Linked DNA regions of Arabidopsis thaliana. The protein of the gene in region 1 interacts with the protein of each later gene in a pairwise test. Each region holds a gene or a part of one and is shown in the gene's direction. Other genes may lie near its edges.

Region 1 (7,762 bases):
ATATGTACATGTACTTTTTTTTACTATTACTACTCATCATATATATAGTGAATCAAGCATGAATATATTGTCGATAACATTAATGGTTATGTAAATTGCAAACAGTACACAACTAACACAACGGATATGAATCGTAAGAGTTAGGTGGCTGATCATTTTGTTGTACTCTATTCCTTCAACGAACCATTTTGTATTACATTTTGTCAATTATATAATTTTATGAGTATGTGAAAGTTAATATGTTATATTCAATTATTCATAGAGTTTTATATTCTCTTGCTAAAACCATGATGCTTCCCACCTAACACTTGTTAGTCTTTTATACACCAAAACGTAAATCGAAAAAAGAAAAAAATTTACTTATCCAAAATCCAAGCTGTAACCAAAGTTATAAATCGGACACACGTAAATAGAAATATTTGGTCAAAGTTTGACTGTCTTGGAATCGTAAAAAACTTTCACACAGTCAAAGGTTCCACTTAGATGGGCACCAAGCCCCAAAGAAATTCAACACATGGCACAGACTATATCGTCACTGTAATTATTTATTTTAAACCTTTTTTACTCTTATAGGAAACTTATCTAGTAGTGACATGATATCATAATTTATATTTATATCATATAGTTTTTTGGATTGTTACTAGTTAGGCAGAGGTGGAGCGTCTTCTTCTTCTTCGTTTCTGAGGCAATCCAGCCTTTCGCACGTGACCGACGCTCCTCCACTGTAGTTATTGTCACGTGCGCCATCATTCCACCATCAATTTTTTTTTATATATTATATCATATTTCTTTCATGTATTATTCAACATCATACACAATTGATATTTGATAGTGTTATGTCTTTTTTGTCCATAGAGACCTTCTTGTGGAAACAGAGGGACCGAGTTTCTTTGTTTTTGCTAGAGGATGAATAGACTAATACACACCTCGAAAGGAATCATAAGTAGATTGGAAAATATTGTGTGTAACGTGTGTTAGGTATCCTAGATTTGTTAGTTCATTAAAAATGTGATCAAATTATATTTGGTTACTAACTCTTTTTTTTTTTTATATGTCTGACTGTTAACCCTTCTTAACTCTTAAGAGTTCACTATGTTCAAATAGGAGCATTTATTTTCGTCTCATTTGCTATATGTAATGTCATATTTAGTTACCAATATTACATTTTATTTTCCACATAATAGTAATTTTATTAAATGCGTGAAATAGACCACAAAAGACTTTGATTCCTTATCAACAAGGGAAGACAATCATAGAAAGAAAAGCACGAGAAAACAAAAATAATTTTGTTTCACCAAAAAAAACAAATTAGACATAGATATTCACCAAGCGAGTTAGCCTAACGACCCAAAACTTGTTTTGAAGTGATAAAAAAATATCCTGCAAATTCATCATCATCGTTACTAATTTCGGTCAATCTTGGCAATTGCAGATCACATCATCTAAATTCTAAAATGATGAAATGCATTTTTCAAGTTATTGTGAAATTGGTCCCTCATCTTGACTACATACAAACATCTCAGAAAAAAATTTGTAACATAATGTAATCATTGTATATATATACATAGAAATGCACAATAATACAAGTCAGAAGTTAAAAAAAGGAAATACAAAAATAATCTGTAAAATACGTAATGTGAGAATATTACTTGTATCTAGGGGGGAGATCGAACAAATGCTGCTGATACTTCACTAACATACACATAAAAGTTGCAGATTTTGGATCTTGCGTCTTCTTGGTTTTATACCCTTTTCTTACATCTAGTCTTATAAATATTAATACTATAATAGAAAAATTAATTATCCTATATATTGAATGACTCGGCTCCAAAGCCATGCGCCTATATATACAAGTCTTTTTATTTTTTAAAAAATTTGTCAAAAAAGGGACCAGAAACATATAAAGATGGGAGCCTCATTTGCTGATGGATAAATAAATATTTATTTGATTTTAAGTTTGTTCAAGACTAATTATAGTACAAATTAGTAAATTGTTGTTCTTTTTTTTTCTTAACATATTACATATTGTATAGTATAATTCCACTTTCATCCAATTGGATAATCAGTTATAATTCGGATGGTTTACGATACATCGGATTCTGCTTTCAATTTTTCTTGTATACATCAAAATTTAACACATGATAAGGTTTTGGAACCCGCTAACGAGACCTACCTATTTTTACAATAAATATACTCATTCAGTATTTGTCTATATTTCTACCTACAATCTATGTGAATTTGCTTACGTATATCTACTCTTCTTATCTACGTACTGTATAAATTTTCATACACAATCTTCGTGTCTCGTAACATCTACTACATGAGTCATATACAACTTTCTCACCTAACATGGAAGTCATTACTCGTAGGCCTAATTACTCGTTACCGTGAATATAACTATAAAAAGTGAGGAAACAAAAAGATTTACGGAGAAGAAAAATTGAATAATAATTGCAATAGAACTATAGGAAAATTTGTATATGACTTAGCAAAAATAATGATATGGAACTAAATTAAAAAGTTGAGAGGATTTTTTTTAGTGGGAATGGTATGGTGTTTCCCCCACCAATTCCTAAAAAAAACTTATTGCAAAATTGCTCTTTTGATCTTTATTTTCTTCCATTGAAAATGAATTTCTAGGTCTGAATTTAATTGAAGTCAATAAGTGGGAAATAACTAAACTAGCTATTCCTCTGTTTTCTGTTCACAATTCTATTTTGAATAAAGTACATTTTAATTCAAACCTCTTAAAATAGAAGTTACTACAAAAGCAACAAAGGGGGTGGTACGTGGAATACACTAATGAGAAATGTTAATAAGAACGTTGTATTTGGAATGGGATTTAACTTTCTGCACATAAATTTCAATGGGATCATTATTCTTTCCTAACTAAATGATTGATACAAATTCAAAGGATCCTATAAATCTTATCTCAGAGACCGAAAGAAAATTCCATTTGTACAAAACAACAAATAAATAGAAGAAAAAGTTTGATGATAACATTCTTAACAGAATCCGTGAACTTTGTTCATGTAAGAAATCTAGAGTGTAATCAAGGAAGTTCAACAGGTAAAAACAATGACATTTATATATGGACGTTCTTAAAACGTGTAAATCTCATATATTTAAGACAGCCACAATAGTTCTAAACGCTCTCCATTCCTGCATTAAGTATTTATTTCTATTAATAACATTTAATTTATCAATAAAGTTCACATTATCATAGACAACTCCGAAATTAAAAAAGTTTTTTTAAAATAAATTTGCTTAAACTTAAATAATCAACAAAATACAAAACAGTTTAATGGAAATAGCAGAAATCTTTTTCAAGAAAATACAATACTATTAGATAAAAACAATTTTGTTAAATTAAAAAAAACCCATAATTGACTAGCATCAAAAAGTCTTCAAACACAAGTAATCCTGCTGGATATTAAAAAAATAAAAGAGTAATCATTCCTTTAAAAAATGTGATTATTTGTCGACCCAAAAAAAAAGAGTGATGATATTATACATATACTCAAATATTAGTGAACAAATAAAACCTAAAATTAATCAAATAATAAAGATTTTTAATTTAAATGTAACCGCTAAATAACGCCCCCTCTCTCTCCCCCACTTATTTTTGGCGGCACCAGACGCGGGAGACTCTCTCTCTCTCTCCACTCTCTCTCTCTTTTTTCTTTGTTTTTTCGTCACTTGCTCCTAAAATCCCAAATCGAGTAATGGAAGAAAAATCAAATACGATGATTTAGCTTCCCTTCTTATTCTTCCCCTATATTCACTGCGATAACTTTGCCTCTCATCTCATAAATTAAAAAAAAAACACTCTTCTCACAAATTCTTTATAATTCCCCTTTTGATGTGTACGGACACACCACCGAAGCAGAAGCAGAAGAAGAAGAACACTTCTATCTCCGCCGCCGCCGTCGTCTTCATCATCATCGCCGCCGTTAAATGGGTGAGCCTAAAGACAGTCTCGCTCTCTTCCTCTGCCACGAATCGGAGTCTTCTCTAAACGAAGACGACGACGAGACGATTGAGAGATCTGATAAGCAAGAACCTCACTTTACTACTACGATCGATGATGAAGATTATGTGGCAGACCTTGTTCTTAAAGAGAATCTCCGATTCGAAACCCTACCCTCTAAAACGACGTCGTCTTCCGATAGATTGATTGCCATCGATTGGATTCTCACTGTCCGTAATCTCAAAAAGATTTTCCCTTTTTTGATCTTTGTCTTAATCTCTGATTGATTGGTTCTTTGTCTTAATCTCAGACAAGAACAAGATTTGGGTTCCAACATCAAACAGCTTACATTGCAATCTCATACTTCGATCTGTTTCTCCACAAAAGATTCATCGGTGTAAGTTTCAATCTCCAGTTTCATTTATCTATAAAAATCTCACCTTTATCTTCAGATTAAAGCTTAAAGATGGTTTCTTTGTAGTTGCAGAAAGATGAAACATGGGCGATGCGATTGTTATCAGTAGCTTGTTTATCATTAGCTGCTAAAATGGAGGAACGTATTGTTCCTGGTTTATCACAATACCCTCAAGATCATGACTTCGTTTTCAAACCCGATGTCATTCGTAAAACTGAACTGTTGATTCTATCCACATTGGACTGGAAGATGAACTTGATCACTCCTTTTCATTACTTCAACTACTTCCTTGCTAAAATCTCTCAGGACAACCATTCTGTTTCTAAAGACTTGGTGTTGTTAAGATCCTCTGATTCTCTTCTTGCTTTAACTAAAGGTAACTCTATTAAGAAACACATTTTTTTCTCAAGATCAAAGCATTTATTGATATCACATTTTTGTTTCCATGTAGAGATAAGTTTTACGGAGTATCGACAGTTTGTTGTTGCTGCTGTTACTACATTGCTAGCTTCTTCTTCTACCTCATCGGATATTAGATTGACTAGAGAAGAGATAGCTAACAAGTTTGGTTCGATCTCTTGGTGGACTTCTAATGAGAATGTATAAATCTTGGTGTCTTTTTATTCGATTTTGATTGTTTGATGTTGATGATCATAATCTTAGGAGTGTTGGGTTTTGTAGGAAAATGTATATTTGTGTTATCAGAGAACGCTAGAGATTGAGGAGAGGAAACATATGACACCTCCACCGGAAATAGCGGTTTCTCGCGAACCGCCGGCTTCAGGAAGTGGCGCTAAACGCCGATTGTCTTTTGATGATTCTGATCAAAGTTCTCCACCAGCCAAGAGAATGCGTAGGCTATGAAGAGAGAGTTTCTTTCTTCTTCAAGTTTTGGCTTATATTGATTTGGTTTCTTTTTTGGCAACATATTGATTTGGTTTTATATTCAATCATTTGATTATAGAGAAAAAATGGTCTGAATACATCGGTTATTTCAATTTTTATGAAGTAACTCATATAGGTTCTTCGTATGAAGGTCTTTGGATTTCTTGGGGATGAAATGTGACTATTAAAACATTAGGGGCTTCTCTGAGAGAATCTAGGAAATATGAGGAGTGAATGTAAATAAATAAGAAAAACAGAAAGGGTGAATAGTTTTAGGCCAATAGTTGCAGTGCCAGTGATTTGGTTTCACATCCTCTTTTATTTTTTTATTGTCTTATTTTTTTATTTGTTATGTTGCAATTTCTTTTTCATTTGATATTACAAAATTTTGTCATAGATTTTTTTTTTTTTTTGGCATCAAAGTCCATTTTTTTAACCTCTTTAACTTTCAAAAGGGCTCATTCATAGCAAATAATAAATGAAAAAACTCTTTTTAAGGTAAGGTAAAATTATTTTATATTTGATAAATATATTTATTTTCTTATCTTTATTGACACTTTTGGTCATCTCCAAAGTGAATCCATCTGTATGCTACTCAACATGTTATGTCCATTCCACAAAGTCCTTCGTGATCTTTTCATGTTCTCAAATCTCAATATATAATATCTTGGAAAAAAATTAATCAAATAAAAAGAAAATTTTCTTGTTTAGGAAAAATCATCGTTACTTATCTTTGATAGATAACTACTTTTACGAATTGACAATCAGTCGATCACGATAAACTAAAACGGATATATATTTTGCTCCAATAAGTTTTCTTTAGCATTATAGAAACCAACAACTTGTAGTGGAACTGTGGAAGTACTTTGGATCAATGATTGGATCTAAAGATGAAACCCCAATTTATACAGAAATTTGCATGTGATGTTTTTAAGTTAACGTACTATTCTACGCGCAAGTCAAAAGTGCATCGTACTCGTACATATAGAGGTAGATTGTTTTTTTTGTGTGTGTTTATAGGATTATTGTTAATATTTTCAATGAAATGCAGTTGAGAAAAAAAAAAAAAAACATATGTGTAATAGACTGAAGAAACAACAACCCAACGACTTGTTTAAGTGAGAAACAACTGTCTCATACAATACAACTTGGGATCCAAAGTTTTGGTTCCATTAATTAAAGCTTTAATTCCAAAATGATTAGCAACGAATTAAAAGACTTATTACAAACAAAATGCATTCTTACAAATTAAGAAGCATAAAGTACTGACAGAATATAATTAAAGATAATGTGTGTGTGGTTTAAGGCCAATGTTTTGTTGCTCTAAGAGATTATTCAACAAATCAAGAAGCATAAAGGGTCAAGCTTTACTTCACCAAGAACTAGTTAATGCTTCTGAATTTTCTGTTGCCTATCTTTCAATGAATATTAGTATGTCCCAATTGTTATTTTTTTTTTTTGCTTATTATCATTGAGTTAAACCATTTTGTTTCTGTTGGGTTTTGTGTAGACATATGTGAGATTCACGGGTAACACAATTTAGTTACAACTCTCACTTTGGTTAGGAGATGGATAAACTAATGACTAGTGAGATTGAAATATCACAAAAATAACTAATCTTTATGTAAATTCTATTTTCATTCTAGATATTAATTAGTCCTTTATTTATGAACATTTATTCACACGATCACAAACTTAAACAATTAGTTATAGAATATTTTACCGGTCTAATGTTCACATAGAAATTATAATTTACCTATACGCCTACAAGGGACAAATGACTATAGTATACTCATTTTTTCAATCTAAAAAATGGTTTTACTTCATAGAGATCCTAAATTGATAACATTTAAAAATGTTTTTTTCTTTTCTTAAAGAAGAGTCTTTCTTATTTATTACAGTTTTGAGATTGACAGGCTTTGGAATTGTTATATGGAATCAGTTTTGACTGATGAGATATGATGTCAGGAGAAGAGGCTCCCACTAAAAGCCATGACTTCATTGAGAGATTTTCTAAGTATATCAAATTACAGTCTGGCTAGATAACAATTTTGTACCCAAATAATCATTTTTCTTATTTTAACCTTTTGCTTCCTCTGTTTTTTCAATGTCCTTTTTCTGTATTTTTGCATTTGTCATTCAATAGAGACCAAATTTAGATTCCAAAAATGAGAAAAAGAAAGAAAAGAGAAGTGTCATTTCAAAGATACAGAGAGTTTTACAAAAATGGAGGAAATCAGATATTTGTCCTTAATAGCACTAATCAAACTGAAAAATAAAAGTCAAGAATAAAAAACAGAGTCATTGCATAATGCAAAAACTTTGTTAGAAGACTTGTCCGTTCTAAACTTTGAAGTAACTGGTCTAATATAGAGATCTTTAAAGAGTGGTTTCGAGCCAATTTTGATGGAACGATCAAACGGGAATCGTCTTCAGTCCAGCGGCGATTGGCATACCCAAGAAACCTATGAAGATACTGAAGATCCATTGTG
Region 2 (8,790 bases), on another chromosome or scaffold:
CAATTCCAATTAAGTTTCACTCATTTATTTACTTTTGTATATCAGTTGCATACCCTCATATCTCTTGTATCATAGAACATAACTGTGACTGGACATCAACAAAATTGTGAATCAGAGGCTCAGTCCTATAAGTTTGTAATAACGTCCATATATTGCATTTATTTGAAGGCAGCCTACTGGCCGAGGCTAAAAGAACACTCAAAAGCATTTTGGAGCCAACTTTTAAAAAGTTCATTCCATCACCCTATTCTGATAAGATATAAAAGCTCTAGCTAAATAGAAAATAGGAGATAGAGAAACAGAACATACCAGATAAAGCGCATAGTAACGCAAGAACAGTGATTTCTTGCTCACTTGGTCACGAAGCATATGGGAGGCCCGTCTATACTCTCGACAATCAAAATAGGACTTTGCTAAAAGGTAAATGTCACCATCAATCGCTTCATCTTCTTCCGGGAGAGGAGTAGCTGCTTGAGAGAAGCCAACGGAAGGTAACGGTGTTGAAATAGATTCATTGGTGCTGAACCTTCTCCGGATGCTAGAGCTTCCTCGCTGAAACCTCGTATTCGCAGGTGTAAAATTAGACGGGTCTTGCTCTATCCCCACAAGCTGCTCTCCTGCCCTGCAATGATGAAAGCAAAGGAGATATCAAATATGGAACTGACTAATAGTTCACCACCATTGAACTACAATACGAGTACTAAAAACTGAAACTTTAACTCATAATTCACAAATTAGTGTCGAGCTCAAACATATCGAAAGATTGAACCGGAGATCAGAAGTTCCCATCGAAAGAACACATTTTTTCAATTAGTGTCGAGCTCAAACATATCATAACACAAAACCCACATGTCGAATCATCTGAATTGGAATGTATCCAACACCAAATTCGCAACAAAAGTGAATTCGAATCAACGAATCTGCTTAACCAAATTTGTTTACAATTAGCCCAGGATACAAAAAAATTAGTAAAACCCATAAAGGATAGTGAAAAAATCGATTTTTAATCGAACCAGAGCAGTAGCGAGCTAGAGATTGCAACAATGGGAGAGGTTGAATAAGATTAGGGTTTTGAGAAAACGAACCACTTTGCGGCGGAGTATAAACAGCGGTCGCTAAGCTGTCGAATAGCCGCACGTATTTCGTTTCGGCAACACTCTTTAGAGACCATAGCAGAAGCAGAAACTGAGAGTTTAACTTTAAGTATTCAAAAAAGAATCGAAGAATCTCTTCTTCGTCGTGGAGAGAGATTTCAGAAACATTTGCTCCCTCCATCTTAATTATTTTGAAATTTACAGAGAGATCGTGTGTATTGGGCCCATTGATTAACTTTTGGGTTTCAAAATAGGCCCATGAAACTAACATACACACACACACAAAAACTCTTTACACAACTAATTTTAATATCATATCAATTTTGTCACTTTGTATTAATTTCTGTTAGGTATCAATGAATTATTGAAAAAGTGTAAAAATAAAATAAGAATGCAATTTTTTTTTTTTTGTTTTGTCAACAACTTTAAATTAATTGGTTTAGCTCAAATGAGTAAGACCAAAGGTATGCAAAACTATTATAGAAAAAAAAATCTTAGTTGGACAAAATAACCTTTTGTTTTGGTCAATAGAAATTTTTAATGGTAAGACTATAATTTAGTCAAAGATAGACCCTGATTTTGCTTATGCAAGTAGTTAAACACTATCATGAATCTACCATTTTAAGGGCATTACTCTTTACAAGATTACAAATCAAAAGATTTAATCTTTCCAAAACCAAACAAACCATACCAAACCAAAAACAAATTCAGACCAAATCACTTTTAAATCCTACAAAACCAAAATCCCCTTACAACTTTACTTTTTGAGTTCAAGTAAAAAGATAGATATCCAAAATAGATCTTGTTACTATAATATTGATTGAAAATGTATTATTTTGGTTAATGTAATCTAATTTTGGAAAAGAAAAATGAAAAAGTTGAACAGAATCCTGAAAATATTGTAAGAAATTTTCTAAACCGAAAAAACAAAAAGACAAAAACCAAAAAATTGCGATCTGAACCGAGCACAAAACCGTAAAGGTTTCAGCTTTACCAAAATTTAGAGGAGTGTGTAAATGTTACGGAGAAGGAGGAGCCAAAAAATTCAAATTGGCGCTCAAGTATCTTGGGAAATTCCCCCTCTCTCTTTTTAGGAAATCCCTCCAAAATACAATATCAAATTCTCAATCGCAGACATCGTTTGCGTCAACCATGTCAGATCTATCGCCAGAAAGATTCAAACTTGCCGTTACTTCTCCTTCTTCCATACCGGAATCTTCTTCGGCTTTACAATTACACCATTCCTATAGTCGCAAACAGAAATCTCTCGGACTTCTTTGTACCAAGTTAGTGCCTTTTTACTAAACCCATTTTATTTATTTGTTGTTGAATTTGTTCTGATTAGTGTTCTTCGTAAACTCAGTTTCTTAGCTTTGTATAATCGAGAAGGGATTGAAATGGTTGGGCTTGATGATGCTGCCTCGAAATTAGGTATTGCCCACTTTGTGTTTGTGATTTTTATTTTCATTTCTGATTTTACATCTTAATTTGTTGATTGGGGTTTTTGGGGTTTATTTCAGGAGTGGAGAGACGAAGAATCTATGATATTGTTAATGTTCTGGAGAGTGTTGGGGTGAGACTTGTTTCTCCACTACTTTGTTTTTTTTCAGAATCCAGAAGTGTTATGTTTGCTTAATTCGAGTTTTGTCTAATTTAGGTTTTAACAAGAAGAGCAAAGAATCAGTATACGTGGAAAGGGTTTTCCGCAATTCCAGGAGCATTGAAGGAGCTACAAGTGAGTCTTTTCATTTGTTTTGTATTCGGATTCAATCCCATTCAATCCCAATTGTGAAGAAATGTAGCGATTTGATTTGCATATTCTCATAGGAAGTGTTCTTGATGTAGGAAGAGGGGGTTAAGGACACTTTTCATCGTTTCTATGTCAATGAGAATGTTAAAGTAAGTCATTTGGATTTGGTTTCTTTTGATATACTTGTGTCTTTAGTTTGTTGTCTTCATACTTCTAATGCTTAAAGTTTCATACTTTCAGGGATCTGATGATGAGGATGATGATGAAGAGTCTTCTCAGCCTCACTCTAGTAGCCAGACTGATAGTTCAAAACCTGGTTCTCTTCCCCAATCTTCAGATCCCTCCAAAATAGGTACTGTTTCATTTTGTGCGTGTAGTACTTATTGTGTTCGGGTTTAGTGCCATTGCAAAGTAGTTAAGTGATTTACCCTCTTGGTAACTCTATATGTGGGATATGAATTATGAGATGCAATGTAGATATCCTAACATTTTGTTGGTTGGTTATGTATGACAGATAACCGACGAGAGAAATCTTTAGGATTGCTTACTCAGAACTTTATCAAACTCTTTATTTGCTCTGAAGTAAGTGAGAAGTTCAAAGATTCGTTTTTTGAACTAAAGAGTTATTCACTAAGTTACTAAAGATTTGTTTTTTATGTGTTCAACTGTTTAGGCTATTAGGATCATCTCCCTTGATGACGCTGCAAAATTACTGCTTGGTGATGCCCACAATACATCAATAATGCGAAGTAATTATCTTCGTCTTGTGACCTGAAAAGTCTTTTCTTTTATGTTAACATCCTCGGTTGAGACAAATCGATCTGTGTTTGTTGACACATTGATTACTTTTATGCAGCTAAAGTGAGGCGGCTTTATGATATAGCAAATGTCTTGTCGTCAATGAATCTCATAGAGAAGGTAAGTCAAAGTTATCAATAGCTACAACAGTTGTGAACCATCTATGATTTCAAGCTGTGATTTAAGTCTTACTAGTTTCTGTATTCTCTGGTGGCAGACTCACACCTTAGATTCTAGGAAACCAGCTTTCAAGTGGTTAGGGTACAATGGTGAGCCTACTTTCACACTGAGCAGCGATTTGTTGCAATTGGAGTCAAGAAAAAGAGCTTTCGGAACTGATATTACAAACGTCAATGTTAAGAGAAGCAAATCATCATCTTCGTCCCAAGAAAACGCTACAGAGAGAAGGCTAAAGATGAAAAAGCACTCAACACCAGAGAGTTCTTATAACAAAAGCTTTGATGTTCATGAATCAAGACATGGATCAAGAGGAGGTTACCATTTTGGACCTTTTGCACCAGGCACTGGTACATATCCAACTGCTGGTTTAGAGGATAACTCTAGGAGAGCTTTTGATGTTGAGAATCTGGATTCTGATTACCGTCCCTCTTACCAAAACCAAGGTGCATATATTTTATTCACATCCATTTGATATCAAACTTGTCAAAATATTGCTATGAAATTAACTCTGTTTCTGAACAAATTTCAGTTTTGAAAGACCTCTTTTCCCATTACATGGATGCTTGGAAGACATGGTTCAGCGAAGTCACCCAGGAGAATCCATTACCTAATACATCACAACACCGTTAGATCTTCTTTTTCTTCTTCTTCTTCTTCTTCTTCTTCTTCTTCTTCTTCTTCTCTTACCTGTGAACATCAATCATCATTCGTGTAGAGAGCTTCAAGAGTCATTTCTTTTGATCAATGTGGTTTAGTTTCTCCACACAATTGTAACTGCAAGAATCCGACATTAATTCACAGATCGCATACCCTCTTTGCTTTCTGAAGTTTACTGTAGGCTGTAACTTTTGTATGTTACATATAAGAGCATTCATCTTTCGCCAGTTTTTTGCTACTTTTGTATGGCATGTTGTTTTGAGAAAAACAAAAAGAAATATCATCTCATCTTATTTTTCATTTTTTTCAAGAATTTAAAGTAGCAATACCATTTCTCTTACAGAAGGGTCTCTTGCTTTATTGGTATATTCTCATGAGTACATGTTTTAAGGAAATATCAGGAACTAGTGTTTGTCTCAGAGCTTGGAAGGAGGTTTGTACCATCCCCATGGTTCATCAGAGATATACTGAGTCACCTGCTTCACACTCAAGTAGTTCTCAAGTCCCCTGCGACGAAGAAAATATGTTTCAATTCAAATTTTGTTGGTAATCTATTACGGTTTAAGTTACTATGGACACAATTCCATCTAGTTGGAGAGTGTCTTTTTCTAATGGTTTGATAATCTTAATACTTATAGCTAACGAAAGAGACTAACCATTCTCCCAATTCACGGCCAAATCCACTGCGTTTGGTTCCACCCCATGGAGCTTGGCAGAAGCATGGCTGAGAGCAGTTGACCCACACTATTCCCGCCTGGAAAGCCTGAAACACACAATGATTACGATTCATAAAACTTTAGAGATTAAGTTCAATCATGAGGTTATTGATTGTTATTGTTGATAGTAAAAGTTAGATACACACCTTACTAACACGATCACACCGCTCCAGATCATTTGATAATACTGCGCCTGCTAATCCATATCTGCAAATACAAATAAAGTCAGGCATATGATCTAACACGTCATCAGTGGAGTTCTACTTCAAGATAAGAAGAGAAATCTACACTCACTGAGAGTCATTTGCAAGCTGAATTGCCTCATCCTCGGTGGAGAATGTTTTCACACACAGAGCAGGACCAAAGACTTCCTCTCTCCAGATTTCCATTGAAGTAGTCACATTTGAAACAATCGCAGGTTCAACAAAGTATCCCTTCTTTAAATGCTGCAGAACATAAATAAAATATTGTAAGTGCTACGGGCTCTAGATAGTATTTGGCACATACATAGAAGATTAGTCAATATAATGTACCTCAGGACGAACTCCTCCACAAAGAACAGTTGCACCTTCATTCCTAGCGTTTGAGACAAACTTTAGAACTCTCTCGTACTGCACAGGAGGATAAATATGTAAGACTTGACTAGAAATCTTTCGTCATTAACCCAAATTGATAGATAAGAGGGTTTTGGAGGATTGAGGTGTTTATTCTTGAGAATGTCAATTCTGTTTAGCAATTTAACCTGTCCTTTACTGACAACAGGACCAAGCCTACAGCCTTCTTCAAAAGGATCTGAAATCTTAATGTTCTTGGTCCACTTTACCAGCTTGTCCAAAAACTCGTCAGCAATCCTTTCCTGACATTTCACCAGATTCTTTCATGAAAACAACAGTACACAAGAAGTATAGTAAAGCTTCGCTATCCTACTTTTATCAAGGGTTCCCAAGGTCCTACGACAACTGATACTTATCAATCTATCCGAATTGCTGATGACCAGTCTTACAGATAAACATATACTGAAACTCTGTACCTTTGCATCGGTGGTTTCATGTAAAAGATAAGTTATATATTCTACTTGTTTTATGACTAGAGTAGCCTACATAATTATAACTTAATTTCCAAAGGTAACCTTTAATTTTACAACATATAATTGTGTTAACGGATAACACATAACTTGTTTTATATGTGTTAACGGATAACACATAACTTGTTTTATATGTGTTAACGGATAACACATATCATGAACAGTTCGGTGCAGAATTTAAAATCAGAGGTACTGTAGATTATAGGCTCACTTACATGCACAAGAAGTCGAGATGTGGCACTACAAATCTGCCCATTCGTCCAGAAACAACCAAACATAGTCCATTCCACAGCTGTTTAGAGCAAAATATTAGTCACAAATTAAACCAGCATTTTAGAATACAAATATATAGCATAGTTTTCTTAAGGTTCCAAAAGTACCCACCTTTATCAATATCGACATCATCAAAGACAATGATAGGGCTTTTACCCCCAAGCTCCAAGGAAACTGGCTGTGGAATGAAACATAAAACAAGATTCATGTACAGACCCCGAAAAATCATAGGTCGAATAAACAAGCCAAGATAACTACTAGTTCCAAAGGAGAGTAACAAGGACACTTAGACTTACTTTCACCAATTTGGCAGCGGAAGTCATAATGCTGCTTCCAGTTGTTGTGCTTCCAGTGAATACAATCTGGTAAAGGCTAAAATATCAATACTTCAACTAACCCATAAAAAGGAAATAAGTGCTCTATCTATAAGTGTTTGACTTTCAGGACACTGGTAGTGGTATACAAGTGATCAGACCTTGTCAACATGTGGATGCGATGCCAGTGGAGCACCTGCTTCAGTTCCTAAACCAGTCAGAATATTAAGAACACCAGGTGGTAGACCCACCTCGCGGCAAATATCAGCGAGCTCCAAACATGTCCTGGAATAAAACAGCATCAGATTGGCGAGTTAATGAACTAATAGTTGAAGTGGCTAGCTATGATGTCAACAGAAATCAAAAACTCACAGGGAGGCCAACTCTGAAGGTTTCAGTATAGCCGTGCACCCAGCAGCAAGTGAAGGAGCGACTTTCCAGACAGCCATCAATAACGGATAGTTCCTTGAATGCAAATATAGATTATTAGCTGCCTAATAACATACGGTTTGTCTAAAAAGGAAGATAGAACACTTGAAGACCAATGTGATCTGAATATGTAAAATTTAAATCCGCGAACTTGACAAAGGATAATACACAACGATCTGAGGGATCGGTTAGATTCAAATCTGTCAATGAAATATAGTACCATGGAGTAATCATGCCAACTACGCCAATGGGTTCCTTGAGAATATAACCCTTAAAAGTATCCATCGGAAGAGAAAGAGGAGTCTTCTGCTTTGCATCCAAGCCTTCAGCTAGGTCAGCATAATATTCAAAACATCCAGCAACATCATCCTGCAAAGGTTACAAGCAACCACATGTGACATATGAATCACAAAACTGCCAAATGTTCACAAAAGCAAATTGAGAATACCATGTCCCATGCTGCTTCATCTAGAGGTTTACCGCAATCAATAGCCTCAAGATTAGCTAGTTCAGACTTCCTCTCTATTACCTGGATATTTCCATTATGTTATTGCCAGGCAAAACAGCTAACAGAGAATGAAACATGAGAGGAACATAGATTTGATTAACTCATTGTTGTTACCTTAGCTGCAATAGCGCGCAAGTATTTGGCACGAACAGCACCAGTTGCTCTAGCCCAATCCTTTCCGTTGTTCCTAGTAAATGCTTTCCTAGCAGCTTCCACAGCAAGCTCCACATCTTCAGAAGTTGCAGCTGGAATATAACCTAAAACCACCACCAATCCCAGTTTAAAAAACACTACAAAGAACTCCATCAGCAGGAGAAGAGATCCAATCCAATCATTCAACTACATATCTATCTATTCTCCTCCTATATAATCCCACAGATCTAACGCAAAAACAACTTCCGCTCCCGTTCATAGACAATAATCACAGAAGAAATGACGATCGTCTCAAACAGACAAAAGTTCAAAGCTCTTTCAATTCGCGAACTAAGTATACAGCAAATCGGGAAATGCGTAGTTCCGATAACGATAGATTGAATCGAAACTCGCGAAAATCGAGTGATCAAGTTCAAAAAGTGAGTAACACAAGATATGATTGGAAAAAATAAAAAGTACCGATGATGTCTTCGGTGGCGGGATTGACAACAGGGAGAGTTTTACGGAGAACGGGCTCAGTCCATTGACCGCCGATGAAGAGTTGCCGTCTCGGCACCGTAATCGCCATACTCTCTCTCTCTCTCTGCTACTAGAGGTGGTGAAAAGGAGTAAAATGGGATCGTTGGGACTTTCCGTTTTGGTTCTAAGAATGATATCTGACCCATTTTTCTGATAGCTGCTCATATAAAATAGTTTTTTACCTTTTAAAAAATAAGATTGATTTAATTCATGGATATTTACATTTATTTGGATTTCTAACCATTTTTACATCATTTTTTTATATACATCCTATACGAGGCTGTCTTTTTTTTCTTTCTTGTAAAAATTGTTTAA
Region 3 (8,117 bases), on another chromosome or scaffold:
TTTATTTTGGAAAGATAACAAAAAAAAAATGAAAACGATTTTAGCAAAAGTTACGGGCTAAGAAAAAAGAAAACGTTGACTCGAACAAACTCTAGAAGCCTGCTTCTTTCTTTCTTCTCTCATGTTCTCCCAAACGTACAAGATCAACACAACAATTGGACGAAGTAAAGATAAAGTTTGAAAACATTGTTTGTGGTAAACCTATAAGTATATTAAGTTATTAACACAATCCAAGTGAAATATAAAAAAATATCAATATATATATCAAGTAACTCAATAAATTACCACATAATTCAATGCATAGTGAGGGTACTCATCTAGTAATTTTTAAAAGTAATAACTCTCATGCCATTAGCCCACAAAAGTTTATCTAGCTGTATCATACAACTGCAATTTGATATCTTAACAGAGTTATTTCTCCAATCTTGTATATGCCATTAGCTCTCAAGTGAATCCAAATTACAATGTTGATACGTACACCGAGCATAACTAGAGTAAATGTAGACAAAATTTGGTATGTCAAGTGAAACAGAACGAATGCAATCAACATCATTAACACGCTTATAAAAGATGACAAGTCTCCTAATTGTTTTGTTGGAGATAACTTTTGGCAATCCTGAAAAAGATATCATGGGCAGGATTGCCAAACGTTATTTGAGCAATACAAGTAGGAGATTCTCCATCATTTATAAACGTGCTCATGATGTAGATTGTTTTTCGCTATGTTTTTCACTCGACACACCAAATCTTCTCTACATCTACTACTCTAGTTATGGTCGGGGTAGGTATCGACATTGTAATTTAGAGTCACTTGTCAAAGCTACACTTGATCATGATTTCTTAGTAGAACATGACAATTGTTGTTGTGCTAATGTTTTAAATTGGTTTTAGATGATTAAAGATGAATTACTCATCTGACATATAGTTTTTAGTTTCTGGTTTTGTTTCTATTGCTAAGTTCCGTGGAAACAAATACTCTAGATTTTACAAATACCCTCCTTGTTGCCGTGTGTCACTTTCGGACTATGTACTCGAAACACTAAGCATCAGGTTGGATATTTCCAAGTTGACTGATCCATTGTGAAGGAGTTACTAATCTCTAAGCCGTTCCTTTAGAAAATTCTTCCCAACCCTTTTCCACTCGAATTCTCATGTGTTTTTCGTAGAAAAAATTATATCCACTTTGTACCATCTGTTCCCAACAAAATTACCGTCAAATCTTTTTCAGGGTCTTCACCATTGCCATTCATGAGAGAAACTGACATGAATTAATCTAGGATGATAACTTTTTTTGGAAAAGATGGTACATAGATGACACATCTTCTACGAAAATGCACTGGAAAGAATGAGTTTGGGAGCACATAGTTTAAAGATTGGTTAATTTTCACGTTGGAGTCAATTTGGAAAAATGTAATTCCTAAGCTCAGTTTTTCTAGTACAATATCCAAAAGTGATACAAAGGCAGCACGAAGAGTATCAAAAGCTAGAGAGAAAGATTATATTTTCACTAAACCTACCAGTTTTCGAAATAAAACCAAGAAACAAAATTAACATCAATGATATGATACGCTTTCTAATAATGGTCTCCTAATGTGTTGTAAGTGGGATATATTGAAAGAATTAAAGTTCATATAAGATACATATGCTCTTGGACATATATATGATGCAGTTTAGACATAGTTTATAATTGAAAGTGAAATACAAGAAATCCTCATTAGATAGTTTATGAAATATATTGAACTTTGTAAAAATAGTAAACAAAAATAAATCTAAATTTTTATTTATTTTGTATTTGAAATAAAACCCAAAAAGAAGATCTTTTCATGAAAGAGAAAAAAAGAAGTAAAATTGGTTGTAAATTTATTTCTGAATAGAAAAAAAAAAGAAATTGTGCCACGCAAAACCTTAATGCTTGAGCTTAATAAAATGAACCTTAATGCTTGAGCTTAATAAAATGAACCTTAATGCTTGAGCTTAATAATTGGGGATTATGTGGTTAATAGTATGGACCAGGAATCTTAGTCAGCAAACACTATATGGATTTTCTAATTATCTTAAATGGAAGTAGTAATTTATTTGTTTTTGTTTTTTAACATAGGAAATTTTGAAATATTTAGGTCCAAATTCGTGGTTTCCAAATATCTACACTTCAGATATCCAAATTTGTGGTTTAATATATATGTATATCCAAACTAAATTTAATTACAAAAAAAAAGTGGAATTTTAATATTTAGTTTGCCATTAAAAGATTTTAGATACAGTATATGGATTTTTGAGAGGCATGGCACTATTATTCGGAATCATAGATCCAATCCGGAATTCTTTCCGATCCGATCCAGAAAACCGGATATCCAAGATAGGTGAATCCAGATCCAGAGAATGAATTTACGGATACGTATAATCCGAATTATAATTTGATTTTAATTTATAATGGTGGGATACATACCTTCATCTTTGTTGCCTCGTTCCAGCTTGCATTTCTCCGTAGTAACATGTTGCAGATGATTCCTTCCTAAAGGTTTTGATTGGTATTTTATATTTCGCGCGGCCCAATTGTCACATACATTTTGATTATATCCGCATAATAAATGTTGTTAGCAAACAAATGAGGATTAATATTGAAAATTGTCCCTAGATCAAAAATTTATTACTGAAATCATACCTTTCTTTGCATATACCACATAAAATGCCAATGAATCAAAATTCATCACAAGAAGCAATCATCACTAGTAGCTGATGTGTATATGTAGACGTCTCTTTAGGGTTTTTACAACAATCTCCATGGAATTTTCGATCAACATGTTTTATTAAATCATATTGATTTTTTATTATTTTATGTTTTAAGGTAAATAAGAAATTGTTTATTTTCTTCTTTGTAAACTATTGTCGGATCATATATTTATGTGATGTAGAAGCCATGTTATCGTGTACAATGCGTGTTAAAACTTAAAATTGTGAAACTTTTGTATGTAATAATGATTGATTGACTAATTGATTTTAAAAGATAGAAAATATATAAATTATGGGTCCACATGGTAATTTTATAAAGAAAAAATCCCGGATTTTTTCTATTTAATCGAGAAATATAGATAATGATATACAAAAATTGGTGATTTTTTGTGAAATGTCAGTTGACTAGAAATTTGAAACAATTCTTATCAATGTATTTTTAAAAATATCATGTTTAATATGTAAGTTTAATATTCATTAGTGTGCATAATGTAAGAATAATTACTAATTTACATAAATATTTTCTCTTATATGTGAAAGTATTTAACTACTGATTTATTGATATACAATGAAAAAGTATGGGCTATTAACTTTATATGATTTCAATAATTTTTATGATTAATATATTTGATAAAAATGATAAATAATAAATCATTATTTTAAAAGAAACATGTATATCCAACAAAAAAAGCCGTGTGTAATACGCGTTGGTTCAAAGGGTAATTTAACTATGGAAAATAGTCCTAGATTTATTTTTGTTAAATTGAGAAATAAAAATCATTATATACCAAAATTGTAAACTTAGCAATTTTTTGGTGCAATTTCCGTTGACTCGATTTTTTGGAAAAAGTCTGTCAATTTCAAAGAAAAAATATTATGTTTAAATACTTAAGTTGAATATTTATTCGTGTGCATAATAATAATTTATTTTTCGTATAAACATTTTTTATTCTATGTGAATGTATGTAACTAGTTGTTTGTTGTTACATGTTAAAAGTATGTACTATTAAGTTTATATGGTTTCAATAAAAAAAATTCAATACTTTTTATGATGAAATTATTTGATAAAATTTAAATAAATGAAAATTGTTTTTTTAACAACAAACCGATCATATTAATGAGAATTTATTTTAAAATAGAAAAGCCGTATGCAATACACGTTATATTTAATAGAAAATTCGTAGTCAAATGATGAATTTAATTAGCAGTTTAATTTTTAAGAAGTTAAAGATTTAGTCAAATGATGAATTTAAATTTATTCGACAACAAAAATTATCAATAAATCAAAAATGTAAAACTGACGATTATTCTATGAAAAGTGAAAACACAACGGAAAATACAAATAATAATGATGAGTTTGGGGTTTTATTTAAAAATAATAATAATAATAATATTGTTTTTGACAATTAGATAAAAAAGGTAAACTTTTTTTTTCTTCTCCTTTGTTTTATTTTAACCCCACAAAACTCGAAAACCTTTTTCCCATTTTCTCACTTTCCCTCTTCTTCTCCTCCCTCAAAGCTTTTCCCTCTCATTTTTCTCTTTCCGCTTTCAAGCTTCTTTTCCCTCTCTCAAAAAATGGGGAAATACATGAAGAAATCAAAGATAACTGGCGATATCAGCGTCATGGAAGTCTCTAAAGCAACAGCTCCAAGTCCAGGTGTTCGAACCAGAGCCGCTAAAACCCTAGCCTTGAAGCGGCTTAATTCCTCCGCCGCTGATTCAGCTCTACCTAACGACTCTTCTTGCTATCTTCAGCTCCGTAGCCGCCGTCTCGAGAAACCCTCTTCGCTGATTGAACCGAAACAGCCGCCGAGAGTTCACAGATCGGGAATTAAAGAGTCTGGTTCCAGGTCTCGCGTTGACTCGGTTAACTCGGTTCCTGTAGCTCAGAGCTCTAATGAAGATGAATGTTTTGACAATTTCGTGAGTGTCCAAGTTTCTTGTGGTGAAAACAGTCTCGGTTTTGAATCAAGACACAGGTTCGTTGTTTTTTTTTTTTTTTTTTTGTGCCCTAATGTTTTCTTATTACCAATTCGACTTTTGTGTTCTGTCTTATCCAATAATCTTAGTTTTGAGTCTTACATAGTTTTGAATCTTAGTTAGGTTTCTCTGAAACTTTTGTTGTTTGCTTCAAATCAATTTTTTTTTTTTTGGGGGATGAAAATAGTTTAGTACAAGAGAAAAATAGGTTTTTTATGTTTCCCTTATTGGTTTGGTTTTTGTTTATGAATTGACTCTCTTGTGATGTACTGAATTTTGTTATTACTACTTCTCCGTATAAGTCTCTTTTGGTGTTAGATTTACATTATATCTGATTTATTGCTGTATGTCCCATGTGTACTTCATTGCAGAGATTATCAATGAATGTGTCAAAGCTATTTTCGTTTTATATATGTATTTCATTATTTGTTACAAATTTGGTGAAACTCTGATCTGTTTTTGTGTATTTTAATTTGTTTAAGAACATGTTGATTCTCCTTGTTATTAGGCTAATGGCATAAGAAGTATTTGTACATTGGGTATACAATATTGGGATTTGGTTATTGGGGGTTTACTTAAACACATGGTTTTCGTTTTTACAAAAGTGGGTTGTTGTATAAAGGTCAGAAACTTTTAATATGTAAGATTATATGAGAATTGGGACTTTCCTCATAAGTGTAATGCAAGTACTGTGGTGTCATGTTCATGGGACCTAGTGGTTTTTGCATACTTGGGGAATACTTTTGTAGGATCCTCTGTTTTTTGGGGTAACCGTCCTGCTGCTAGTTGACAATGTGGTGATTGCCTTCTCTTTGTTATTTATTATCTTATGGGACCATATTACTTAGAAAGTCTCTAGCTTTTGTTGTTTACTTAAACCAAGCCTCTTTTTTATTCTGGATGTTTGGTTTTGGTTTGATTCTTGATTTGGTTAAGTGTCTTTGTGGTGATAATGTTATTGAAGTTATTTTATCTGTGTTTTTTTCTGCAGCACAAGGGAGAGCACGCCTTGTAACTTTGTTGAGGATATGGAGATCATGGTTACACCAGGGTCTAGCACGAGGTCGATGTGCAGAGCAACCAAAGAGTACACAAGGGAACAAGATAACGTGATCCCGACCACTAGTGAAATGGAGGAGTTCTTTGCATATGCAGAGCAGCAGCAACAGAGGCTATTCATGGAGAAGTAAGCTTATTCTTTATTTTATTTTTGTGTCATTACGAAGAGGGTGAACAACACTCATGTGTTTTCAATAATCTTCAGGTACAACTTCGACATTGTGAATGATATCCCCCTCAGCGGACGTTACGAATGGGTGCAAGTCAAACCATGAAGTTCAAAAGGAAACAGCTCCAAAAGACATGGTGTGAAGTTAGAGAATGTGATGGAGTTAACAGACTAACCAAACATCAGAAATCGTGTAATCTTAAGTAATAATGTGGTTAGAGAACAAGTTTGAGAGTAGCTTAGGGACCTTAAAACCTCACACCATTTGTACTACTAATCTTCTTCAGATGCTTAGTGAAATTTTCTCATCTGTTTCTTTCAAGTGTTTGTTTTTCTATCTATCTCTCATGTTTATTCAAAGCTATATGTAATGATGATGATTGAGAGGGATGTGTGTGAACATGTTTAAGCTTGGCATATAGTGAAAAAAATGATTCAGATGCAGAAGAAAGAGACCCAATTGAGAGGTTCACGTGTGAATTTTGGTAGGTGTAAAAATCTGAATCATATCCTTTTTCTTTCAACTATACAAGATTGGTCCCTTTTCTTCTCTTACCATAATTATGACGCACGTGAATGTGTGTGTAAATACTTTGACGTTTACATTGAAATACTGTAATGTAAGTTCAGAGTTAAAAGTACAAACACAAAGGTGAATTTTGTACTAATTAGTAAAGAGATAAGAGTGTTTTGAATCTTGAATATCAAATTATTATTAACAAGAAACTGACAAAAAGATGAGACAGTGTTCATTGAGAAGATCTCTGTTGTTTTATCTTTTTTTTTACATTTCTTGGAAATTGGCAAAACCAGTGTGATGAAACTGTGAAATCTTATCTCGAACCCAATCATTGTTCTATGTTTTTCTTTAATCTCTAAAAGTGAAAAAGTGAATGCATGAAACGTTCAGATACATTCATTATATTATACATTTATACATATGGACATGGTGTACGTATGTACACGGGTGCTTGTTTGATCACGGGCTCACTGACTATAAAAATCATGTTTTTTGGGACATATAGATTCGCTTACATCAACTGTGTGACCAATGGGGTATCTGAATTCAGCTTGTTCGATGTTTTGTTTGACTCTTTTAAACTATTTGGTAGTAAAAAGCCAAAAAGGAAGAGCACTGATTACGAAAGCCTTTTTGTCTTTTTGTTTCTTCTTCTCTAGCTCTCTTTCGTTCTCCTTTTGGGTTAGTCCTTCAAAATAAATGTCTTTAACTTGTCATGTATAGTTTCTTTCTCTCGTTGAACACCAACCATAGGCCTTGCAATGTGAGTCAAAACATGCATTGAAAAAAGAAGTGAATTTCAACATTAAATGCTCTCGTTTAACATGCCTATGGTTCCATTAAGCAAAGTACACACTCTATATATGTCGAAAGAACTATACAGTCGGTGTTTTAGCCCTATAGTTAGATACATTCGAACTGATTACAGAAATATCAAATATCCAGTTCTAAGATCGGATTAAGGCAAATACATTTAAACTACTTCTAGCGAATGAGGTTCACATAGAAAAACTTTTTAAAATGAATCACTAAACAAGATTCATTTTCTTTCTAAATAGTGTAAAGACGAGTGATGCATGCAACTGCTCTCCTTTCCGTTGGTCCCTTGTCAAAATATACGACCGTGAATAATTCTTCCCATCATATTTATCTGTCGGAGAGTTCCAACCTCAAAACATTCTCCTTCTCTTATCAATTCTTTCTAAAATCATAAACCAACAAACTGGGCCTATGATCAATTATTCATATTCAATTTAGCCTATAACTAAAACCACACTGCTTTCGTTACACTGGCCTTCCGACAAGTCTCTTTGACTGTTTTTATCTTAAGCGCCATCAAGTTTTAAAGAAGACAACCCCATATCTTTCCTCCCATGAATCATCGTGTCCATATTGCTATAGTTCATGAAAAAACTAAATACTATCGACAACTGAAGAAAAGATCCGGATCTTGTGGACCGAGTGAATGGTTGGGCCCAATTAGAATGGTCTACCCTAACATCTAGCCGTCTACACGATTGATCATACGTCTAAGAGGGCGAAACCACCAAACGTTTGGATTTTATCTAAATTGATGTACATAAAGCTAACATGATTTTAGTATAAACATTATAAGCATCATGGAAATCAATAAGCTAACATGATTTTAGTAGAAAC
Region 4 (7,187 bases), on another chromosome or scaffold:
AATGAATTACTTAAGGATAACAAAGTCAGTAAGCAGATTTCGAAAGATGATTTGCTCTGTTCAGCATGTAAGGAGCTGCTTGTACGACCCGTAGTTCTCAATTGCGGACATGGTATATAATCTTACATGTTTGATTTCGATAAATGTCATGAGTATTCGCTTTATGTGCTAATTTCCTGTTTTATCTTTTCCAGTGTATTGTGAAGGATGTGTAGTAGATATGGCTGAAGAAAGCGAAAAGATCAAATGTCAAGAGTGTAATGTTTGTGACCCAAGAGGATTTCCAAAAGTTTGTTTGATTCTTGAACAGCTTTTGGAGGAAAACTTTCCTGAAGAATACAATTCAAGAAGCAGTAAGGTTCAGAAAACGCTCGCCCATAATAGCAAAGGAAGTAAGTCCGACATTCATGCCTTGAACCATTTTGTAGTTATCGACATGTATCATGTCCTTGTGCTCTCAAAGCTTAGTTCTTGTTGTTACACAAAATATGTGAGACCTATACACAGAGACTCACAGTTTGTAATCGTTTTATCTTGATGTTTAGATATTCAAAGCTATCTCAAAGAAGGCCCGTCCTTATCAAACGACAATAACAATGATGATCCCTGGTTGGCAAACCCTGGATCAAATGTTCACTTTGGAGCTGGTTGTGATTCTTGTGGGGTAAGTGCATTATTACCTTAACCCGATTGTTAGTTGTGAAACCAAAATATGTGAATCGTAATTTGACACTGGTGCGGTTTGCTACAGGTGTATCCAATCATAGGGGATCGATACAGATGCAAAGACTGCAAGGAGGAAATTGGGTATGACCTTTGCAAAGACTGTTACGAGACTCCTTCGAAAGTTCCAGGGAGATTCAACCAGCAACACACTCCTGACCACAGGCTTGAGCTTGCACGGTCTCCTCAGGTTCTGATCAATTTCAATTCTATCGGTATCCTTCTCGGACCCGTTATCTCAAATGAAGGCATGGATACAGATGAAGGCGAGGAAGGGCCTCCTGGTTCTTCTAATGAGTCATCAAGCACAGAATGAAATAGCAGTCAAGTATTAATGCATATGCTTTCGCTTTGTGTTTGCGTTTGTTATTGTATTTATACTTCATAATATATTTTCTCCTGAGAAGTCTATGGTTTTAACATTTTAAACAAAGTTTATTTCTTAACAAAGTTTGTTTGCATTTGTGGTTGTTAAGTCACCTCTTTTGTTTATATTACCTTTAAAGTGTGATTTATTTTAATTCCTCTCATTAGTACACAACTATTATTGTTAGTGTAAAGAATCCATTTAACAAAAAAAAAGATAGAAGAAATTATCCATTTGAGACAAGATAATTGAATACAATAGTTACTAAAAGGTTAACTAGCCAAATTATTTGTTTGAATGATTAAAACTTTTTTTTGCACAAAAAAAAGATGATTAAAATCTTTTTTAAGAATATATAAAATTATGTATAAATTAAATTCTTAGATCATTTAAATACCCATATTATTCAATATTCATACTGAATCCGTTATCCGTATCATTCATTTTTTTTTTAAAAAGTACAGTTATAATAATAATTGTAATATCTTAAATTACACTTATTCGATTCTTTCAGTTATTATCCGGTATTTATCTGAAAAAGAATAAGTTTAGTCATGTAAATGTAAAAAAGAGTGAACTTTTGAAACAATTGAGGCATGTGAAAGCTTTTCAATATACATATTGGCTTGAACTTGAAGGATTGCTAATAGATAGTAACTGGATTCAAGGGACCCCATCAAGGTGAAAGATTCGCTCCTCTGAGTGCGTGTGAGGCAGCTACGATGTGATTGGTCGGAGTGTGGAACCCATGACTGCTCTTACGTCGGAAATCGTTTCTCGGGTTCTGTCTTTTTTAAAACACTTTATTATTGTATTAAAAAGAAAATAAAGGAAAAAGTTTTTTCAGTACGAGCGTGTTGTGATAACAGTTTTTTTTTTTTTTTTGGCGCCCTGAAAAAAAGGGCGGGAGGACGTGAAGAGTGTTATTGCAGATCCTTTATTTGTTTTTTGTTTTTTTTGCCTTTATCTCTGATTTTTGGGGATTCGGTAGCGTTCGAGATCTGAGCTGTTGCATGATTGCTGAGAGTCATCGCACGTGTGCCTTCCTTCTTTGTACGGTGAAAATAGTTTTTACCATATTTAAACCGGTTATAAAGTTTTGTTCAGGTTTAAAGTATTATGGGCTAGTAGTGTGATCTTTCGTGTTTGGATGAACTGATGAACAAAGAAATATCTAAAGATTGTACACAGTGTTGGTCATGCATACGATTTGAAGCATATAAAATCATGATTCATGAGAATGTCCCTTTGACATCTTCGATAAAATCATGAGAATTATGAATTATCGCAAGCTTTAAATTTAGAGATTTTTAATGTAATTCATCTTCTTCAATAATAATAAACCTCTCGATTAAGAATAATAAGCACCGGGGCATTGACATTGGGAGCCTCTACTCAGTACTCACCTTGTTGTTGTTTCACGGGTTACATATATATTAATATAAGAAGGCCTTTTAACAAAAATAAATAAATATAAGTCTGATTTAATGTATAAATGTATATCACGTAACAGTAGATTAATTAGTCGCCGCATCACGATTCTTGTTTCAAAGAAACAAAAAAGAATAAGACTGTGTTTGCTACACAAAAGAAATGTAGAAAACCAAATTGAGTCATATATTTACATTTCAGATACTATAAAGTATAAACTAAATTTTATGTAAAGGAAAATTAATTTTTCTATTTAGACGTGAGTATAAGCATGTAGTCAGACCAACTTTATTTGTTCGACAAATTTACCAACAAGTCAACTTTTGAAGCCTAATTTATGAAAGATAATCTCAACTATTACATCACAAAGAGAACGGTTGTTGAGATGATTACATAACTATAAAACTAGAAGCAACCAATATAAATGTCCAATGCTAATAAATCCAAAGAAAATAAATACTTAGGTAAGTGATCAACCCTATGATGTTAATTTTAAGACACTTGTTTACTTAAAAAAAAAAAATTTACAGTCAAATGTATCTGTATACAATTAATGTGTACGTTTTTGTCAAATGTGAAGAATTTAATAGATGGTTGACTCTTTTTTTCTTTTGAACCAATAACCTGCATGACATTTGAAAATCTGAATGCTAGCTTTTGTTTTGGATTGTTTGTACAAAGTTAACGTTGACTTGTCTACCAAATTTTATGAAACAATGAAAATGGATGCAAAAAATGAACTGCCTTATTATCTTAAACCAAAACAAATTTGACACATACAACGATCTTTGCATTATTTAACAAAAATAACTAAAAATTTCCACACGATATCAATTGCTTTATAATCATGGATGGTCTACCAAAGCAATTAATATAAGCTTGATGATCTTTATTCTCAAAGACCTTGTTACTTTCGGCAGCCTTTTATTATTTGTTGCACCAACCACTCATAAACTTTAAATACTATATATATAGTGTATAGAATAATTGGAATATATATTTCCAAAAATGTTCTTCATTTGAGAACTATTATTTTATGTTATTTTGGAGTAACTAAGAATTAATTATATAATATAAGTGAAATATAGAGTCGGAAATATGTCGTTTACTACATGAATTATCAAAAAGTTGTTATTTAATACGTAAATTTTATATATAAACATTTAATATATGTAAAAATTATTGACCGGTTATTTTACACAAACTTAATTGTTTATCAGCCAAAATTTATACCAACGTAAAAAAATTAGATAACATTAACTTAGTGTAAAATAACTTTTTTCTATATATTAAATGATTATATTCAAAGTTTACGTATTAAATGAATATTTTTTAAAAATTTGCGTATTAAACTATATTTTTCTCAAGCAAACTCAAATTAATACTTTAAATATCTCATATATTGTTCATAATTTACTTTTGTAAAGTAGACTTTTAAGTTTTAATCAGATAGAATACAAAAATTAAATTAAATTCCAATTAATTAAATTTTGATTTATCTTTTTTCGAAGAAAATGATGACAATCAGGTGAGAGGGCCTTTGACACCTTAAAAATTTGTCTAATTTGTTTTTTGATTCGATTTTAAAATAAATATTTCCATTGTCCTTTTAGTTTTCACTTTTTCAGATTAAAAATCACTTTTTTCCTCCTCCTTCGTTGCTTCCCTCCTTTCGCTCTCGACCGGAGATTCAGTAAACCACCTTCCCGGAGATGGGAAAATACATTAAGAAGTCAAAAGTCGCCGGTGCCGTTTCCGTTAAGGATAAATCTCACCCACCCGCTCTAGGTTTCCGTACCAGAGCCGCCGCCGCTAAAAACCTCGCCCTCCACCGTCTCCGTTCTCATTCCGACGAAGCAGACTCCTTTAACTACCTCCAGCTCCGGAGCCGCCGTCTCGTGAAGCTTCCATTACTCACTAATACCAGAAAACAGCAGAAGCAACAGCTCATTCCTAGTGTCAATCAATGTCAAACGAAAAACCCTAGGGCTAGTTCCGGTCCGGCGAAGAAATTAGAGCCGGATACGACGACGGAAGAAGCTTGTGGTGATAATGAGAGAATATCTAGGTCTGATTGTAATTTTGGAGATAAAGGTTTTGATTTGGAATCAGAAAACAGGTAACTTTAACTCTGTTTTTTTTTTCATTTTAAAGCTCCAAACTTTTTTTTTTTACTACAATACAGAGATTGAGTTTTGATATGTTGGTTCTCTCATAGGAGCATGATAAGTGATTCAAAATCAATACAAAGTGAGATTGAAGACTTCTTTGCTAGCGCAGAACAGCAACAACAGAGATTCTTCATTCAAAAGTACAAATCCCATTTTCTTTAGTGTCTTGATTCTCTTGAGTTTTTAGAGTTTGGTCTGACTTTGGGGGAGTTATGGTTTTGCAGGTACAACTTTGACATTGTCTCGGACAATCCATTGCCTGGACGTTACGAATGGGTCAAAGTGATGCCATGAAATGAGTTGTGTTCGATGTAAAGTTGTGTGCTTTAGGAAACATCTGTGTTGGAACAGAGGAGATGAAAATTGCACACAGACTAACTTTGTGGGGTTTTAGGGTTGGTGTATAACTTGTTAGTCAAGAATAATGTAATGTTAATCTCTCTCATTTGCTACAAATAAATGTCTAATTTAACTGTCAAGTTACTTAAATTAGTATTGTAAATCTCTTCATTGTTCTTTGGTTACTTCAGTGAAGGTCTGAGTTTTGTGGTTCTGCATTAGAGTTACTTTACAAGTCATATACTTTGGATTCAAGTAGCAAAAGTAGTGAACTTGTCTGAACAAAAACCTTAGTCACAGGTTTTATCTCTATCTTCTTTATTGATAGTTTGATACTCTAATCTCATTGGGCTTTTCACACATGTGGGTACTTGTACCAATTCCTCTGTCATACAGGTTGCAGTAAAATGCTTCGATTAGATTTCATCTCTCTCTTCTTTATTGGCACTGCACTCACTGTCTTGCTTTCTGGAATTATTTCTTCAAAAGTCTAAGTTAGTAGCACCTTTCATGCTAAAGATTAGGTTTCTTGGTTTCTGTAAAATATTTCACCTCTTTAGATCATTTGCTCATCGGATGAATCAAAACATTAAATAATGATGTCTATTCTTATTAGTACAAAGCGTTTAAGACCACTGTGTTATGTCTGATACTAGTACTAAATTCACATGATCATTTACATCTCTGAAGAATCAAAACCTTCTTGGTTTTGTCACCTTTTAACACATGAACAATATTTACTGATCAAGCCCTGCTTCTCCGATGGTTCAGCGTTTTTGTTTGGTTAATTTGTGAGCAAAACTGCAAAAGCAAGTCATAGGATGCTTAGAGTGATTTCATTCTCGTTGATAATAGTTGTATTAAGTAAATACGTAGTCTGTAATATTACAGTACCTGTCATGTTCCATCCCAACTCTACCACCGAAGCTTCACGGAGTTGCAGGTCCTGTACTCAACCTTTGCTTTGTTTCTGACATTTCAACTTCATATACACCCTTGCTTTCAGAAGTTTTACTGTCTTCCATGGCCATCCTCCTGATTTGAGCCTGTTGGATTGCTAGCACCTCATATCTGCAAATAATTTCCATGAACTACCAATGGTTAAACTCATATTTCTCGTGATCTTTATTCATCACTTTGTTACAAGCTAAAAACCCATCTCACTATCTCTATATGAAAGTGGAATCATACACAGAACAACAGAGTAAGGTGCATTTAACACCTACTAAGGGCATTACACCTGGAGTTATGGAACCATCTCAAACGAAATTTTTTGGCATAAGAAAGTACTTACTTTGCCACAATCTTCCTCACAAGCTGGAAATATATCCTCCAAAACTGATGTTCCTTTAAAACTCGCGGGCATAACTTGAATCTCAACTGTGAGAGTTCCTGTAACACGAAATCAATCTTGTTTAGAGCAGCTTTGAAAATAGATTCGTTTAAACCCAATGGTCCTATCAACCAAATTCAATTTTACCAACTGTGTAACAAAATCATCTTGAACTGCAAACACGAGCATGTTTACCATTTTCACTAACATGAGCCTAACCAGATTACAAGCAATTCAGGAAGATAGTAGCATCAAATGAACTATAAGATTCGGCACATAAACTCTGATCCGATTCTGATTCAAGTGATACCAGTGGACCAAGAGCTCTACCACTACCAGTTCCATCCATTTAGAAATCTTGCTTAGTCCTAAAGAGTAACTTTCAAATTTCCCTATAAGATTCGATCCATTGCTCCTAATTGACCAAACCCAAAGCTACAAGCAAATCAAGAAGACAGCAACTTTCTATAGGCGCTATAAGAATCATCAACTCTTATTTGAATCTAATTTAAATAGCACCGTTAGCTCCAAAATCCAATCATTGATCATTTGAAATCTCTACAGACAACAGCTACAAATTCCATTCATTTCAACACAAGTTCAATCATCAAAAGAAGCAAAATTTAGGAAATCAAGAAGACAACAGCTATGTAATAGGCTATATAAGAATCATCAGCCCACACACTCAGATATGAATCTAACTTTAAAATAGCACCATTGGCTCCAAAAGCTAAACTTTGATCATTTGTAATCTCTACAGCTACCAATTCCATTCATTTCAAAACAAAAGTCAATCACAAAAAGATTCAAAATTCAAGACCAA

The links.
Region 2: the proteins of CYCD5;1 (region 1) and DEL1 interact in a two-hybrid assay, tested with the Arabidopsis thaliana proteins (one large-scale study listed by BioGRID).
Region 3: the proteins of CYCD5;1 (region 1) and ICK6 interact in a two-hybrid assay, tested with the Arabidopsis thaliana proteins (one large-scale study listed by BioGRID).
Region 4: the proteins of CYCD5;1 (region 1) and ICK3 interact in a protein complementation assay, tested with the Arabidopsis thaliana proteins (one large-scale study listed by BioGRID).

The regions. Positions count from the first base shown.
Region 1 is NC_003075.7:17,675,540-17,683,301, forward strand, and holds CYCD5;1 (cyclin d5;1), read left to right. Parts: upstream 1-3,628; 5' UTR 3,629-3,957; coding exon 3,958-4,200; intron 4,201-4,280; coding exon 4,281-4,367; intron 4,368-4,451; coding exon 4,452-4,761; intron 4,762-4,836; coding exon 4,837-4,985; coding exon of another isoform or gene 4,986-4,991; exon of another isoform or gene 4,992-5,066; coding exon 5,067-5,249; 3' UTR 5,250-5,725; downstream 5,726-7,762. Other genes in the region: ACA2 (calcium ATPase 2), read right to left, coding at 7,686-7,762.
Region 2 is NC_003074.8:17,781,395-17,790,184, forward strand, and holds DEL1 (DP-E2F-like 1), read left to right. Parts: upstream 1-1,936; 5' UTR 1,937-2,246; coding exon 2,247-2,380; intron 2,381-2,457; coding exon 2,458-2,525; intron 2,526-2,614; coding exon 2,615-2,667; intron 2,668-2,751; coding exon 2,752-2,829; intron 2,830-2,939; coding exon 2,940-2,993; intron 2,994-3,084; coding exon 3,085-3,196; intron 3,197-3,358; coding exon 3,359-3,426; intron 3,427-3,517; coding exon 3,518-3,593; intron 3,594-3,700; coding exon 3,701-3,762; intron 3,763-3,859; coding exon 3,860-4,265; coding exon of another isoform or gene 4,266-4,294; exon of another isoform or gene 4,295-4,328; intron 4,329-4,351; coding exon 4,352-4,452; 3' UTR 4,453-4,766; downstream 4,767-8,790. Other genes in the region: APC8 (anaphase-promoting complex subunit 8), read right to left, coding at 310-622, 1,086-1,171; ALDH10A9 (aldehyde dehydrogenase 10A9), read right to left, coding at 4,896-4,986, 5,136-5,242, 5,342-5,402, 5,490-5,641, 5,729-5,806, 5,938-6,051, 6,495-6,571, 6,664-6,730 and 7 more. UniProt on the Arabidopsis thaliana protein: Inhibitor of E2F-dependent activation of gene expression. Binds specifically the E2 recognition site without interacting with DP proteins and prevents transcription activation by E2F/DP heterodimers.
Region 3 is NC_003076.8:19,790,538-19,798,654, reverse strand, and holds ICK6 (inhibitor/interactor with cyclin-dependent kinase), read left to right. Parts: upstream 1-4,246; 5' UTR 4,247-4,308; coding exon 4,309-4,739; intron 4,740-4,921; coding exon 4,922-4,948; intron 4,949-5,704; coding exon 5,705-5,899; intron 5,900-5,977; coding exon 5,978-6,047; 3' UTR 6,048-6,385; downstream 6,386-8,117. UniProt on the Arabidopsis thaliana protein: Binds and inhibits CYCD2-1/CDKA-1 complex kinase activity. May target specifically CDKA-1.
Region 4 is NC_003074.8:9,056,757-9,063,943, forward strand, and holds ICK3 (Cyclin-dependent kinase inhibitor family protein), read left to right. Parts: upstream 1-4,079; 5' UTR 4,080-4,233; coding exon 4,234-4,640; intron 4,641-4,739; coding exon 4,740-4,832; intron 4,833-4,916; coding exon 4,917-4,986; 3' UTR 4,987-5,247; downstream 5,248-7,187. Other genes in the region: PRT1 (proteolysis 1), read left to right, coding at 1-112, 195-392, 546-664, 752-1,039; AT3G24820 (BSD domain-containing protein), read right to left, coding at 5,961-6,102, 6,326-6,423. UniProt on the Arabidopsis thaliana protein: Inhibits CYCD2-1/CDKA-1 complex kinase activity without interaction with the complex.